Linked DNA regions of Neodiprion lecontei. The protein of the gene in region 2 purifies or fractionates together with the protein of the main gene of each other region. This does not show direct contact. Links are inferred from orthologs where the notes say so. Each region holds a gene or a part of one and is shown on either strand. Other genes may lie near its edges.

Region 1 (7,772 bases), on a different chromosome or scaffold from region 2:
GCAAGAGCAACGGTTAGAACCCATATGCAACATGGATTGGCTGTGTTATAAGTAATCTTACTTTCTCAGCCTACTATCATGGGTTAGTGGGACGACTGGTCAAGGATTTTCATTGGAATATCCTAATATATCGCTGCATGCTATATCAAGGGACCAACAACTACATCCTCACCAATACCTTTATGTCATGGTAGATGCAAAATTAGACCCTGCAGGTAAATGAAAAACGAGGATACTTTTTTCCCTTATACATGTGCTATACTTGCGGTTGATGATTGAGGATTTTTTTGTATTTCTTAACTCAAATTTTGGACAAATATCTCTGTATGTCTGTGTCATGCTATATCAACAGATATGCAAGAATTGCTGCCTATAGATGCCCGATCTGAAGGCAACGATGAAGAGGACGACGACGATGAATCGGAAACTCCAATGACTGAAATGAGATTCGTTCCAGAAAATTCAAATAGCTTGGATGCCATGTTTCAAGCGATGAGCCAGTGCCAAGCACTCCACCCTGATCCTCAAGGTATCTAAATGGTCATGCCTCAAATTCATGACAATCCTTTTGACTTTACTTCAATTACTATTGTATTCTACCTTGGAGGTATAATGCACCTTTTTTTTTCACGCAAATTGACCAAATTTATTTATTTCTAACTCTGCTACAGAACCCTATAGATTTCAATTCCAAGTTATAAGTTACAGAAACAATTATAATGAATAGAAATGAACAAAAACTTCACAGCTGAAGAGGATATCTATGAGGATGCTGAGGACGATGTTTTCAAATGTTGGGAAGCTGAAACAGACGCTATGCCATACATATTGGCATCGGGTATGATTTCTCTCTGTTTTTGTTGAATGGTTAGATTGAATACAATTTGCTATCTAGATGCTGGCCCTGTAACCATTCAATTGGCATGGTAATTTTCCAGATGAAGCATATAATCAGAACGGTGCAGATACAGACGAAGCCATGGATATTGAAGCAGGCCAGTTTGAAGATGCTGAAGAAGACCCTTAGGTAGTTGGTGGTATTAAATTCTACTCTCTGCTGTCAACTAAAACGTGCGTCAATCGTCACTATATCTCTTTGTTCGTGCAGTTTATTTTCATGCGCGTTGTAGACATAATGCTATAAGCTTACCGAATCACAATACTCTGAAGTAAATTTCTGTCAGCTAAGACACAAAGCGCTCGAATTTATATTCATATTCATTTTGTACATGATAACTATTCCTATGGTAAAAAATATAGGTATATAAATATAGATATAATATTGCATTTGATTTTTGTCATTGCGCATTAACGCGATTAATGGGAATGAGATTTTAGACGGAGAAGTATACCTTGCGTAAAAATGACAATCTAAGATTATTGTAACTATCTATCGTGTGTCGGAAATGGTTGATGGAATATGTGATGTTAGGCATGCGAATTATTGTACGTAATTTTAACGTTGGAACGTTTATTTCTCAATTAACGGCGCATGCCGAGTTTACACGTATACCTATTGGTAATGGATGTGTAAAGCTGGGGTCGAAAGGTTTCAATCGAACGATCCCACTTGGAAACACATCCCCGTTTGAATTTGAGATCTGTAGAACAGCGTACATTATTTTGTATACTTAAACATTTGATGTACTCGCGTAACGTGTGTGTGTGTGTAACCACTTATGCATATAGCATAAAAATCATCACAGGTAGTATGGCTACCACAGGCATAAGAAACCGATATCAAGTGTTATCATTACAATATACCTTGCCGAGGTTACACTATTTTCTGCTCATCGAATTTTTTTGGGCCCAAAAATAAGATCAGCATCCGGCGCACCCTTTGGGTGATTGTACTTTTGTCGACGTTCTCTGTTCAGATTAACGGTAACAGGTCTAGTGCCTTGATTTATAGTCTCTTGATAATCCTCTTCCTCCTGTCTTTCGGTAATATTTAGTGTCAATCTCTTCACCCTCTCCTTTTCTTCTTTCTGTTCTTGTTCCCGATTCCTGAGATTCATAGCGAGTTCGGAAGACACAGGAACAGCAAGATTTTTATACTGCTGCTTATTACCTTTCCTAAGCATGAGTACAAAGTCCACAGTCGTATTGTCCGACGGTCCTTCACGTAATTGTTCATACGTCTTTTTTGTGCTCTTGACATGGAGTGGCACAGATATATCAACCTGTTGTGGCTTCACCGAGTCACGCATCCGGTCCTGGATATTGTCAGACACCATTTTGTCAAGGGCCGAAAGAAAATCGTCATCTTCTGGGCAGCCAACCCGCCTTGGCGCCATTGGTAGCGCAGCATCTAATTCTGAGGGGTCCATAACAACCCCCTCACTCACGCCTGCCGATAGACTGAACTCCCCTTGAGTATTTTCCTGTGTACCATGATTACCTTCTCTGTAACCATCTGTTGCCCAGTCATCTTCCGACTGTGCTTCAGAATACTCTTCACTTTCATCGAAGTGCAGTTCTTCGAGTATACCTTTGGCATCTCCACTTCCGTTACCTGAAGCTATTGGCGTAGGTGTCGTCACTTCCTCATCGACCTCTGGTATAGCTCCCATTGCTTCAGATTCATTATTGCTGTCGGATGCGCGTGGTTCACCTGAATACTGTTCGTCCTCCTTTACTTCAATTCTGGCGAGACTTGGGTACAAGGTGTTGCGCAATTCATCTACAGCACAACGGGCCTCTTTGAAACCTTGGAACAGCTGCATCTTTGGCCTAAGCATTGTCAGTGTGTCACGATACATATAATCGACGCTGACTGGAAATGGATTTTCGACGGTCCATACAGGATCGCTACGCTTGAACCAGTAGTAATGCTGGAAGAATATTAGGAAATAATCCAGTTTCTTCTTACTAGAACCACCACTAAAGTATTGACCACATGTTTCCAGGAGCGTGCAGACCAAACGGATTCTGAACAAATGCTCAGGCGGATCAAGGAGCGTAGGTACTGTATGATCTGTAGAAACGCCGAAAGTTATGAGCAGGTAGAGAGTGCGGAAGATGTCGCCGCTCTCGACTAGGCGATAATTGTATAATTCCCCGAGGTACTTGACCATTGCAATACGACGTTGGTTATACTTTGGCAAATTTACCTCCATGCACAGCCTTATGTCTTCCAGAACGCCATCTACAACGTAAGGGCCAACAGCCTCATAATGCGCCACCAAACCTGCTAGTAAACTACCAACGCACCTTATGTTCAGGTACTTTACATTATGGGCGGCTACAAGGCATTTAATAGCATACGTAGAAATATTGTCATCCTCCCAGTCCAGTTTTCTCATTAGTCTCAATACCTTGTCAGTATTTGCCTTGGACAGATCCTGGTAAAGTAGTTTTCTAATGAACTCGTGCATAGGTGGTCTTTCTTTTTTTGCAATACCGCCAGTGGACTCTGGTGGATTAACAAAGTAGTAAGCGTTCTCTATTATCGTTACGTAACGCGAATCCAAAGCAGTAACCGCCTTTTTTCGCATCATTTGTTCCAGGTAGATTTTTGTGCGTTGATGAGAGTCTGGGGAACAAAATAAGAATCTCCCGCACGTCTCTAATAGATTGCAAGCCATTTCAACATGGTGATGAGTGAAATCGTGCAATAGTACTTTAAGACAGTAAAGTGCCTCAATTTTTGAGTACAGTTTGAACTTAACAAGCTCACCGATGTAACGAACAACTTTTATTTTTGACTCAATGTTGATCTGGTCTTTCTTTCTAACGTGGTACTTAAAATCTTGCTTGAGCATTAGACAGAGGTCATTAGCGACGTCTGGCATAACTGGATAAAGGATGCCGGCAAGCCGTGAGTAGAAGGGCAGCAAATCTAGCCGAATTCTGGACACACCGAACAGGGCCTTAATGAGTTTCTTTCTATTGTGCTTCGTGTTTAAATTCATAAGGAAATCAACAGCTGCATTGTCAATCATTTCTCTATTAACACAATTGGGAAGGTGAGTCAGAAACGCGTCCAATAATATTTTGTTGCTGATATTCGTGACGTGTGTCTCTTCAACCTCTGCCTCTGGCTCTTCGGCAACTTTGTCTGTGTCCTCGAGTTCTTCCAGCGCCAATTCCTCGTCCAGAGCCTCTTCTGTTAGTTGATTTTCGTCAGGTTTAAGCACAGGTACTTCTTTTGAATAAGAACCAGGCAAAAATACGGTGAGGTCTGGGAATACTTCGTAAAATCTCTTAGTCTCCTCATCGCCCCACATATCTTCTGTTGTTGTGCCGCTATCCTCACCGTCACAGGTCATCTTGAAAGACTCTTCTGCTTCTGTTTTAACCTCCATGTCGACTGGCAGTTCAGGCATGCTTTCGTCTAATGTTTCTGAAAAGCTTTGCACGCCACTGAACAAACGCTCATAGGATACCTGCAGAGTTTCCAACTTTTCTTTCCTCTCTGAGCTCAATTCACCTCTGGTCTGCAGTATCTTTCGATTCTGTTTTTCGAATGCCTGAAGCTCTTTGTGTTCCTTGAGTAGATGTTTGCACAGAGAGTTGTAATAGTCCCGCAGTAGTGTTCGAACATTCTGCTGCTTGTCGGCAGACAGTAGTCTGCTTTTGGGCAAAGGCTCGCCTGGCCATAGCTCAGACAACTCTCTTATTTTTCTTGGTACCAGACCCGCATAGTCCTCACCACAGTGACGGCAAAAACTCAAAATTATCGTTACGTTGTTGTGGTCTTCTTTGTCCATATTAATGAGTACGGTGAGCACGCTGCCCAAAAGCGGAAGACCCTGCTTGTGCGTAAATATGCCAGCATTGACTAACTCAGCGTAAAATCTTAAATCTACCCTTAGCTTGCTAGGATTTGAAATCTTGTCACCGACTTTGAAACTCAATATCCTCTGCCAATTCTCAAAGAAATGAGCGCCAAATTCGGCATAATTCTGGTGCAGGTAACTGCAAACCTTCACAGCTGGCGCGACATCAGTCATTTTCAATTTAGCCTCTACAAGAGCTGTCGCCACTTCGCTTATATATTTCGTTAAATTCAAATTGCTCATATCTTTCAGGACGGTATCCAGCTGAGCCGTACAAAAGTTCTTGAGCTTTTTGACAAATGTAGTATTTTTCTTCAAGCTGGAATCCAGTTTGCTGAAATGCGAATCAGGCGGACGGGACACATTTAGGTTTGCTAATCGGATCTTTTCCTTTGTTGAGAAACGCTGTTCCGCCTCCCTGATATATTCCATCAGAAACTCCTTGTCCACCTCTGACACATCGGGTGATACTTTTTCCGCCTCTTGACTGTCATTTTGAATCTCTGACATCGCCACGGTCTCTTGTTGTCTTCCGGACAGAAGTGTTTTACGATGTTCTGTTTGTAACAAATCATTTATTGAATTTTAGTTAGAAGATAGAAAAGAGGTTAGGTTTGTTTGACAAGATTATAATCTATAAGGAATTGACACAGTTCAGCTACAAGCCTGTACCTCGTTTTAACGACACTAAACTCCTGGCCGATCTTCAATCCATGGACTTTACAGCACTTTACAGTAAAATAAAATTATACACAACTACCCACCACGTCGTTGTTGACTCTGTGTTCTTGATTTGTTTTTATCAATTCTATGGTTAGATACGACCACAGACTTTTAAATACGACCAGGATACGACGCGCCATAGCGCATTTGTGCAATGTGCTCCTTACGAAAAATAAAAGCTTCCGCCAGCGGCTCAACGATGGCGCTAAACGACAAAACTGCGCGCGTCAATTCAATCCTTGTAGACCAAAATATTCGAGATATTGTCGACGGAACATGAAATACAAGTTTTGCTCTCAGCGATGAAGTTTATTCTCATTTTCATGTACACGAAAAGAACGCTCCAAAGTACAAAATATTTACAGAAAATCTTGAGAGTAAACAATTTCTAACAATATATAATTTTCAACTATTCTACACCGGTGTGTGAATTGCTTGAAAACCTGCCACAGGCCACTTATTCAAATTATCTTTCAACACTGAGGGGAACAGAGACAAGAACTTGAAACAGTTTCCCATTTTGTCTTCGTCTGTAATCATACTGTATCCCGAAATTAATGCTTTTCTGGTACTGTCGTCGGATGCTTTCTTCAACAGCATAATCAGCCTGGTGTCGATACCAAGCTGTTTTAAAAAATGTCTCTGGGTGACGGGGCCAAATGATATCAGACGATTATTTTGACATGCTATTCTCCTCAGCAGTGAGAAGTCAACGTCTGCAGTCAAGTCAGCTGTTCCTGGATTCGTGAGTGGATCCTGCTGCTTGTGATTACGGAAAGCTCGAAACGTGTCTGTTCGATCTCCGTTATGACCGTAGTCAGCAATAAGCGCGAATCCTCCGTTTCCTATGAGAAAATTTGCAATATAATCTATAATTACGGCGGTTTGCGGGCTTGTTTCGATGTGATCCCTGCGTTCGTGTTCCTAAAAAAAATTGATGCATATAAATTAGTGACATAAATCATGTAATTTTACATGTATGGGTCATATGTGCTAGAATTCTCAACAACGGTTATATTTAAAATTGCGTATCTCATTTAGATATTTCAAATTTGTAATAACTGTTTCACACATACTTATTCGGACAGCAAACAACAGACTCTAAACCTTATTCATCATCAAATGTAACTTATCTTCATTTGTTTTAGAAAGTTAGATATTTCCTACGCTCACTAATGCTTACAGAGATGTAAAACTTGGTATTCGGAGTAGCTGACCTAGACAAGACGTAGCGAAATTTTTCAGTCTCTTTCGACTCTGAATGGATGTCGATTAAAATTTCTCTCCATCCCTCGTTTGTTTTCTAAAAAAGGAAGAAGCAATGTTTTAAATTGGCAGCTAAGAAGCTGGAAATTCCATCTTCACGCTCAGATTAGTTCACCTGAAACTTATGTATGGGCATAGCGTCGAAAAATTCCTGTGCAATTATGATGCTGAAACCAGAAGGAACATCGTGGATGGTTCGATACCAGAACACTGTGACACCATCCTCTGTTGTGCCATGTTTGTAATAAGATTGACATTTGTCATTGTCAATTTCTTCATATGTTTTGCATAAATTCTTTGCTTGCAGGTCAGACAGTGTTGGGCTGACCTCTACCAAATGTAATGAAACTCTGGAGGATAATCCCAGTTTGTGGTAAACCTGAACGACAGAGACACCTATCTATCAGCAATACTACAAGAGAGAGGAAGGCCCTTGCTTCGCTATATGCTCAATAAAAGTGAGACCAGCTAATAAAATGCATGCAAGATAGTCAACAAGTCCATAGAACCGTGTAAAGAGTTTAATCAACATAGATAAAACAAATACCAGAAAGCATTAGGTTCAAAATTAAAGTTTAAAGATCAAATATAGACTGGTAAGTGAAGTTAGCATTGAAATATTTCTTATACTGTTCTAGTCAGCTGAAGAGCTGAAAATCTATGCATTTAACTTATTAGAAATTCATACAATCACTTGAAACTTATCATGCATAAACCATTACCACCAGATAGATTAAATACACGTTTGAGTTTTGATTCGTAACTCTTCAAGCCTACATACAGCATTTTGGATAAGTTTTGCAAATTTCAGGTAATTTGGTTGTCTGGCAGAGTGGGCAATATTTCGAAGTAAAAATTATAAGCCTCAAAGCTAATTTTTTTTTTTTGGTTCTAGTGTATCTGAACTAAACGAACAAAGGTGAGCCTTGGACTAATGAGATCTTTTGACACACCCTGAGTATATCTTTTGATAAGGTTCCTCGTCCCGGACCTAATTCCACC
Region 2 (9,213 bases):
CTCATCATTTTTTTACAGATTGTAGAAATATATAGTCAGATATAATTGTTGTCAACGATTGATAATTGTAAGGATGTTTTATTACCGTGGAGCAATCATTTGCTTGTTTACCCAAAAGGGTTGTATTTTTTCATGACAGGCGAGTTACGTTATTATTTCCTTGATACATACAAATATCCTAGTGTCTCAAGGCATAAATTCACATTCAACCATCTAACTTCACAAACGTAGAATTCCGGTCTTACTTGCTGTGTTATCTAGAAAACTGATATTTTTTTACAGAACACATGCCAGTTATGATTCTGTCATTCGCATTTGAAGGTATGAAAATTATTGCGTTTGGGAAAAACACTTGTTGGCATGAAGAATGTATTATAGCTCTTTGCATAAATCTAACTTACTACAATTACTACTAATAACAAGATTTCACTGCGTCAATTTGATGATGTTATATTTTAGTTTCTTCCAAATTGGAAATTATTTTTTCATTCAATTTGCTCGTTTTTGGTTTTTTTCAACTCTGCCAATTGAGGAACAAGGTAAGATTATTGCGCTACTTTTTCACGTAGGTACTAAAAATTACTAAATATAAATCGATCGCAATTTATCCTGCAATTCAATTTCTGATAGCATTAGGAAATAAAAATAGGTAAATCTTATAACCATACGACTATCATAACTACATCGATCAATTCGCCAAGAGTTTACATGCATTCATTATTAAAACTGAAACACGAACCTCGTGTTAATAAAACATTTATATGTTTCTACATGATTATAGAAAAGTAATATTTTTACATTTATGCGGCATAATTCTTCTACAAAGACGTTTTAAACAAAAGTCAGTTTAAGTGAAATGAAACGTTTTTATTACACACCTTAAGTGTCCAAAACTGCTTGGACTATTTTACAATTTCGCAATCATCTCTTTTTTAGTCGCTTATACTAACTGCTTATACAGACTGAATAATTACAATACAAATGTTACATTTGTATGTGATATCTATTAATTTATGATTCTATTTATCATAATTTATCTATCTTCTTTTTTCTGATTTTACCTTTTCTGTTTAATTAATAATCGTATGTTATATCAATGGCTACTCAACGGTTAGATAAGCACGGCAAATGGCTAGAACGAGTCACAATCAAAGTTTATATCAAACAAGCCTGTTCGTTTTAAATGATATCTTTGACTTTTAAAAAAAGATATATCAGCTTATGAATTCAACAAAATTCAAGAAGTTAGTATATCTTATATTGTTGATTTTATAAACTTTAAACATTTGCATATGAATAAAAATCAATCTTAAATATGTTTTTATTTGACTGAATTGAGGAAATGGGAAAATCGATCTGAAGCAGGTGGAAGACCTAGAAAAATCTTGTGCCAAAACAAAGGAGAGAGTCGCTAACAAAATAAAAACGTGCTGATGTAACACTGGCCCGGCCAGAGAGATAAAGTTAAAGTTATAACTTTGTCGAAAAAGAATTTCATCCCATGAGACTTTTACAATGCAATTAATTATGCACAATGTGAATATAAAATTCAAATTGAAACTGGCAGATAATAACGCCAGATAATTAGTCAAAATGCAGATAATACGAAATTATCCTTTTATTTTGCAAGCGACGAACTAAACTGGTGAAATACGGATACCACCCCAAGTTAGTAATAAACATAACATAACATGTACAGTAGTCGATGGCTGATGCACGATAAATTAGCGATTGCCGCGACATTATTCGCTTTATCGCAATTTTGAAATTCTCCAAAATATTTTCACTTTTTCTGATGATCATCACTCGTTAGTTATATTTACGTGACATTCAATGATGATGACAGTTTCATCAACGTATTCACATCATATTAACTCACTGTTATAGTCAATTGAATATGATACGTGATTAAAAAAAGCTAAGTGTAAATAACTAGGCAGCAGCTTCCTCAACCGCGGGACTTTCCATTACCTTATTTTCTATTTTCGGCAATTCAGGCTCTGTAGTATTAATTATCACTTGTTCAGCGGTTTTGGTAGTTATGACATCATCACTTTCCAAAACATGTTGCTCTTGTTGTTGTAGCTGCTCCGTTTCTTGTTCATTGTCTTGCCGTTGCTCTGTCATTACGACCACATCTAAGCTGACCTTCAACTCTTTTGAAGTTTCCGAGATATTGGTGATTTCAGAATTGGATATTACATCCTTGTCTTCATTGTCGACGGAATTTTCTCTTACTTCAGTGGTCTCATTAACCGCAAACTGATCGATTAGTACCTGCTTCTCTATCTGAACTCCAGCAAATTGTGCCTGTACGAATTTCCCATCGCCTTCCACCATGTTATTCTTACTTTCCGTATTTGTTCTTTGCACGCCGCCAACTGGAACGGAAATGATTTGTTGTTGTATTGTTCTACCTCTACCTCGACTAGTCATATGTTGCTGATTGTCAGGTGGCGGAAGAATAGGAATTGCAGCCTTTGGTCGTCTCATAGGAACTGCATGCTGTTGTTGTTGAGCAGGGCTGTAATAGGTACAACCCTGTGGCTGAAAGAGTTCTTGGGGCGGCGGCGGCCCTTGTGGCTGAAAACAAAGATATTGGTTTTCGTTATTACTCTGTCGTAATTAGGGTACTAGAAGATAAGTTAATTTCTAAAATTTCGTTGCTCATTGCAGGACATTTCAGAAATTAGCTGCTAATAAAACTACCATTTATCAACCAACCTGAACAGGCGGACTGAAGCCTTGATAACCCTGGAAGTTAGGTTGAAAGGCAGGCCCGTTCGGTCCCTGTACGTAATTAATCATGCTTGGCGGTGCACCCTGAGGTGGTAAGAACTGAGGTGAAGGTACCAAAAATGGAGGTGGAGCAAAACTTGCTGGTTGACCACCTGGAGGCAAGGGAAGGACCGGTTGTCCAGCTAGAGGAGCTGCCGGCGGTGCTACTGGTGGAGCCTGATCAAAGTGACCCGCAGGGTATCCTAAAATCATAGAAAAAACTTTTGTAAGTAACTGTTCATATTTATTTAGTGATTGAAAAGTAGGCAGCTGATGTTTCATCATCTGATCCAAAGTTTCCTCAGATTGGATAACTCATGAAACTCGCCAACACATGCTTTTTCACACATTTCATACACAAAATATTTTACACGAATAAAGCAGAAGCCTTATGGATAAAACATTTTTTAATTACAAAAAAGAAAGCATATATCCCAAAGTGCATAGGAAATCTCAAGACTTGCACTGTGAATTTATGAATAGCGATCACAATCCTTATTTTCAAGTAACAATGCAAAGATGAGGTATACTTCCCATGCTTGTGTGGATAAAAGCCACAAAGCACAAGTCATTGAGAAGATTATAACTGAAAGTAGTACGCTGAAACTTGATCTGTCATTCACTTTGTAAAATAACATTGAAGTCAGCAAAGCTAGTACAATGATGTTGCAAACTAATTAAAAGTGCATTCTCAACATGTAATTGTCAGATGATCTGCAAATCAATGAACAGCATCAAACTAGAGAAATAGTCAAATCGCGCACACGATACTACTGAATCTTTTTTGTCAAATTTACCTTGGGAATCTAGAACGCCTCTTGAATTTCCAGCTAAGAACATGTGAATACAAATGTTAATACTAAAAGTAAAAGTTAATAAATTTCGGTAAAATATACAATTAGCCTACAGCATACACGTCACGTTGACATATTCGAAAAAAAGTGCAGCATGGTCGTGTCAAATAATCGTTGCATCGATCAGGAAATATTTAGATGAGGTTATGTTATAAGATCACAATAAAGCGAATGATTTCGACTGATTAAATACCTTGTGGGTAATAGCCATGTTGACCATGCTGAGGCTGGTAGCCTTGCTGTCCAGGACCCTCTGGAACTGGTGGGCGCTGGCGTAAGCTTGAATACCGTTTAGGTCTGTTACCAGCTGCGTCATGCTGCTGTTGGCGAGCTGATTGCTGCTGTGCTGGCTGCTGCTGTTGCTGTGGTTGCTGGTGCTGTTGTTGCATACGTGGAGGAATCGTACCAGGTCGAACTTGGCCTGGAGATTGGACATACAAATTTTCTGTAAAGATAAAAAATAAGCTGTTAGAAAAGCTTTGCAAGTCAAGATGCTCGTTGATCATATTGTCAGACAAGCATAAAATCTTACTGTTCTGTCTGCTATTCTGTTGAAAAGATCCTCCGTCATTGACATTCATCTGTTTCATATCGGTAATTATATGATGATCGTCGATGTGATTATTGTCTGAATTATTTCGCCTATTATCAAGTGGAACTGAGCCAGATCCACGACCTTTAGCTTTATAATCCAATCTGTTGGATCCTGCATTGTTAGTGTTACCACTCGCTTTGAATCCTCGACCTCTGGCTCTACTGGCTGCCAAACTCACACTCTCCTGGACCTGCCTTTTGTTCGAATCACGAGGCGAGGATTTGTGATTCAGTAATTTGTCTGCATCACCACCACCACCGCTTCCATTAGAACTTTGACTATGCGAATTCTGTTTCACTTCCTTCTTCCAAGCTGGATTTGTTGGCTCATTAAGGGTTCGCATTTCGTTTCTATAATAAAACATTGATGTTGAATTGATGAGTATGTTGGGTAAACACTTTGTAAAATAGTTTGCTAGTGGCATTGTATTTTTACTTTTTTTTTTCTCATACTTACATCCCAGAATCATTTGTAGGACTAGTCTTCGAGTTTAGAGACTCATGCTGTGCTTGGAGAGGTGGGAAGTTTCCTGCTTTGGGTTGAGATTTGTTTTTGTTGCTATACCACGCCGAAGTGATAACTGGTTCTTCTGGTGTGGTTGACCTGTCGTCCTGTGAAAAAAACACACCTTCGTTAGAGACTACATACACTTGCTTTGTTGAACTGTAAAAAGATACATCTCAAATTGTTCTAATTCAACGTGGAACTAATCGAGTATTTAAACATCGACTGATACTAACAATAAGTAGCCAGCTGGTACAGTCACCTATTGCGTAATTAATTCAAAACAATATGATCAAAATAGAAATTCTCACCTTATTATTGCCACCACTTAATGCAGGAAACTCTTCTCCACTTCGGTTTGTTTTTCTAACACCACCTCGGCCAACTGAAGGAGGACCACCTGGCTTACCATATGCATCTTCATCCTCCCAGTTTCGCGTGTATTTGTTTGGACCGCGACTATTATTGGAATAAGGATAAGTTAGCAGAGTACCAGAAACTTTTACACAAACTTGATACTGATGAATTAAGAGTAAGCATGGTGAAAAAATTTTGTTCTTGTAGACAGTGATCAGACTTTCGTTTGCTATGCAATCAATATTTTTTATTGTAGTTTTTTTAATTCTTTAAATGTTTTAGCTGCCAATGCTGATAATATCTTGCTGAATAACAAGTTTCTAAGACTTTATAGTGAAATGGTAATTGATGTCTATTTACCCATATCTTCTCCTCCGTCGAGCTCTAGGCGGGCCTTCTTCGTTTCGAATATCGTAGCCATAGACAGCTACTAGTTCATCATGGCTCTTGGGTGCTTGTTCATCGTCATTATACCTATCATGATCCCATCGATCCTCCTTGTCTTTCCAGACTTTCTTTTCTTTCACCTCTCTTTCGTTGGGATTTTCTACTTTTTCTTCGGCTACCTCCTCCGTTGTTCTGTCATCGTGTTCGTAAAACGTACCTCGCTTAGGGATATACTGAGGATTACGTCTGTCTTCATCGTCATCCAGTTTTCGCTGCGGCTTGTCCTCCTCCTGTCCATCTCCACTCTCCCGTAAACCGCCATCCTGCGAGTCTGCCTCAGACCTGCTTTCGCCTGTCTCATATTCTGAGTCACGATGCTCCTCACCCTCTGTAACTTCGTTACTCTATTGGATGAAAAAAAATTTTTAGTCGAAAAAAGAATTTTTTTGTCCCGTAGAAGCTCAAAATTAATTGAAAACCAAAATAGGCCCTACAAATGAATGACCTAATCTAACATATAGAGCAATTACTGTAACATCAAGCCATAAGTGAGGTACAGTTATGTATCTGGGTGAAAGGCAGCCTACCATCCAGCTCCAGTTTTCATTTACAGAAAAATAAGAAGGCCAATGTAACTATGCAATAAGAAATAAGCTACCAATCTGTTTCTAGTACAAACTCACGCTTTACGACGTGTGACCATAGTGACGATTATCAACACGTCGTCAGCGTCTTACAAGCATTAATTGGGGATATGAAAATTGTTTAACTCAATAACTTGAAACAATGATTGAAATTAATTTAAAAATATTCATTCAAATATATAACTCGCATTTAGCAACAGATGGCAATCATTTTTATACATTTTTCCCAGTTGATATGACGATTGCCAGTGGATGTATTGTCCTAGCAGATAAAAACGGAGAAAACTAAACACAAACAGTGGAAAAAGTTGCAATCACATAAAGATATCAATTTCCGCGTTGTCGAATGAACGTGTTTATTTTTCGGCATACAGTAATATATGGTAAGGACGAAAGTTTACATTTTTTACAATTGATTCGACGGCAGAAAATCTGAGATACTAATCTGTAAGTACACGATGCGTAAGTGTACAGTGTCTATATCTATTGGCACGGATATCAAGATGATTCTAAACAGCAGAGAATTCAGGCTAAATATAAGTGACATACGAAGGGCATAACCTGCGAAAACGTTGCGGCAAATTTTTTTGCCGTATAATTGGATGGCACATTACTGAATAGAACTTTATCAGAACCTGGGGTGATACACGCAAATTATAACGAGAAATCTTTGAACTTTCGACCTCATTTCTCCGGTGCGATCAACCTTCATCGACAAACGGTCAAGTCAGACCGTAAATACAACGCCCGTTTACGTTTAGAAATATAGATGTTGAAACAATAGTTGTCAAATAAAACTAACCTGGGTTTCCTTAGTTACATGTAACTCCTCGTACGAATCCGAAAGATCTTCAGATCCTCCAGAAGTATTAGACTTTCTACGACGCCGTGTATCCGACATAATTAGTTCACTGAAGCTACACACGTTCGAGTTTTGCTCGTACTCCATGTTAGACTGTACAGAGACTGACCGATTCGCATTCGTCGCGTTCGTTTTGTTCGTTGTCCCCCTAGCGTCGTCGCGACACACTAAAATCTACTGCCAACATGCAGTCAGTATGATGCAGAGTGGGGGGAGACTGAGTGACCATAGAACCCGCGACGTTCGAAATTATGATATGCGAGACCCCGTTATTTCATCAATGTTCTTATGGACCCCAGATTGAACACATTGGTAAAGAAAAATAGAACACAACATATGTCATTTTGGAAATCAAATGCCTGTTCAGAATCTGAATCAGAGTGATATTTTTTTTTCAATACGAATATCTCGTCACCACTCGTGACGTTTACTGATGGTATACATACATGCAAAGGCTGCTAAAACATGCTCTAAGGCACTGATGCTAGCCTTAAGCTGGATTTTTACGGGCGTCAAATTGACGCGATGACAAATTAACGCGGCAGTGTCACGCCGTCGCGTCGGCAGCAAAAAGACGCCCATGAAAATGACTACCAACGCACCGGCAAAATGCCGCAAGTATGAACTACGTAATTGAGTGGGTGTTTGTCAGTTGCGTTTTTATCTAATAATTGAGAAATCGAGGATTGTTAATTGGAAGTGCACTGAGAAAAATTTCATTTGTTAGAGTAACTAGAAAAATTCAGTAAAATAGGTATCGTTAAATGAACTGTTTGAATATTGTTGGAATTACGAAAAACGACGTACACGTAACCATTTTGCGCTATTGTCGATCCTTTTTTGGTAATTGCAACGCAAAATCAGTTTCTGAGGTTTACTCTACTTTTTTGGTTAAATTAAATTTTCGCAACGGTTGCAAGAAAATATAGTAAAAGTGTTCGTAATGAGAAAGAATAGTAACGGATACCAGACTTTCTGGTAACAGCTACAAATTTAATTTTCATTTTGTACCTAGAACTATATTTTTCGATTGTGGTAAAGAATAAAAATAGTTACGGACTGAGCGGTAACCGGAACTAAAAATTTCTCTCAGCGTGTGAACAAACGGAAAAAATGGAGAAGCAAGAAGGAAATGAAATAAAACGGTAGCAGTTTTTCGAAGTAAGAGAATAGTATCGTTCATTTTCATTATTCCAGAATCGTGAACTCGTGCATATTTAAGATGCCTCTTCATACATTTATTACCGCATAGCCCATACTGAAAATGCTGCGGTGTGTCCAGGGCCTTTCTTTTGGACGATTAACAATAACAAAAATAAAATCAATGATTGATTAATTTGAATGAATTACATGTATTACGATTACAAAATAATGAGAATGAATGAAATTATTTTCTCATATCTCGGACAGCAATTCATAGATATTATAGACAAGCTCTATGGAATGGAGTCCGAATATGCTGCCGGCAACGAATCAAGAGTTACAGTCGAAAAACGAAAGATTTCCTTCGTGATTCCTCTGCTGTTGATCCTACGCTGTTTTTGATGTTTTTACCGCATTCCTAAGGGTCCAATCAGTGGAAAAAAAAGACCTGCAAAACGATTCTGAGACGAAAAGTTTCCGAGCTCTAAAAATCGCAAAACAGCAAGGCAGCAGCAACCCCTTTGGATTTTTTCGATGAATCGATAGCGCGCAGTTTGAATACGCTATGACTAACGGTGTTCGGCCCTGCATGCCCGAATGTTTTGTTTTCATATAGTTTTATTGTATAGTTACAGGTAATTTTCAAAGAAAACGCTGGGTCGACAAACGGGAATTCACACATACCTGAAAGGGATGAAAGACTTAGGCCAGGTCGGTTCGATTCTGCTTTATTGGACAGACAATCGCACCACATTCTGCAAGATAATGACCGCCATGCTTTGTTCTGCCGCTGATAGACAGTAACCATGCTTTCTACTAATAATACAGCCGTCGAAGGGTACCACGGAACGCTGGCTTTGTATGCATTTACAACATGCAGGTACTCGCCAAATGTGAGTGCAGACATTGCTGGACAGCGCGTTCAAAGGAGACCGTGAGTCACTTTTATTGCTTTATGGTTTATTGTTAAAACCGGAAATACTTTATTGCCATGATCCTTATGCCATAACATAAAGGTTAACGATACCGTTAGGTTTAAGTTATATATTTCTTGTGGTTAATTGCTTTTTCAATAAATTGCTCATCGCA

The links.
Region 1: the proteins of protein CASC3 (region 2) and regulator of nonsense transcripts 2 fractionate together in Homo sapiens (co-fractionation; 3 studies listed by BioGRID and IntAct). This does not show direct contact. The link is inferred for Neodiprion lecontei from reciprocal best matches to the Homo sapiens genes CASC3 and UPF2.

Annotation. Positions count from the first base shown.
Region 1 is NC_060264.1:26,452,941-26,460,712, reverse strand, and holds regulator of nonsense transcripts 2, read right to left. Parts: upstream 5,640-7,772; 5' UTR 5,454-5,639; intron 5,339-5,453; 5' UTR 5,292-5,338; coding exon 1,791-5,291; 3' UTR 1,455-1,790; downstream 1-1,454. Other genes in the region: methylosome subunit pICln, read left to right, coding at 70-215, 353-529, 728-838, 939-1,027; protein arginine methyltransferase NDUFAF7, mitochondrial, read right to left, coding at 5,919-6,428, 6,688-6,807, 6,886-7,149, 7,724-7,772. UniProt on the Homo sapiens protein: Involved in nonsense-mediated decay (NMD) of mRNAs containing premature stop codons by associating with the nuclear exon junction complex (EJC).
Region 2 is NC_060262.1:37,919,028-37,928,240, forward strand, and holds protein CASC3, read right to left. Parts: upstream 7,085-9,213; 5' UTR 7,069-7,084; coding exon 6,922-7,068; intron 5,880-6,921; coding exon 5,449-5,879; intron 5,191-5,448; coding exon 5,043-5,190; intron 4,839-5,042; coding exon 4,684-4,838; intron 4,578-4,683; coding exon 4,165-4,577; intron 4,078-4,164; coding exon 3,826-4,077; intron 3,609-3,825; coding exon 3,576-3,608; intron 2,982-3,575; coding exon 2,725-2,981; intron 2,584-2,724; coding exon 1,933-2,583; 3' UTR 853-1,932; downstream 1-852. UniProt on the Homo sapiens protein: Required for pre-mRNA splicing as component of the spliceosome. Core component of the splicing-dependent multiprotein exon junction complex (EJC) deposited at splice junctions on mRNAs.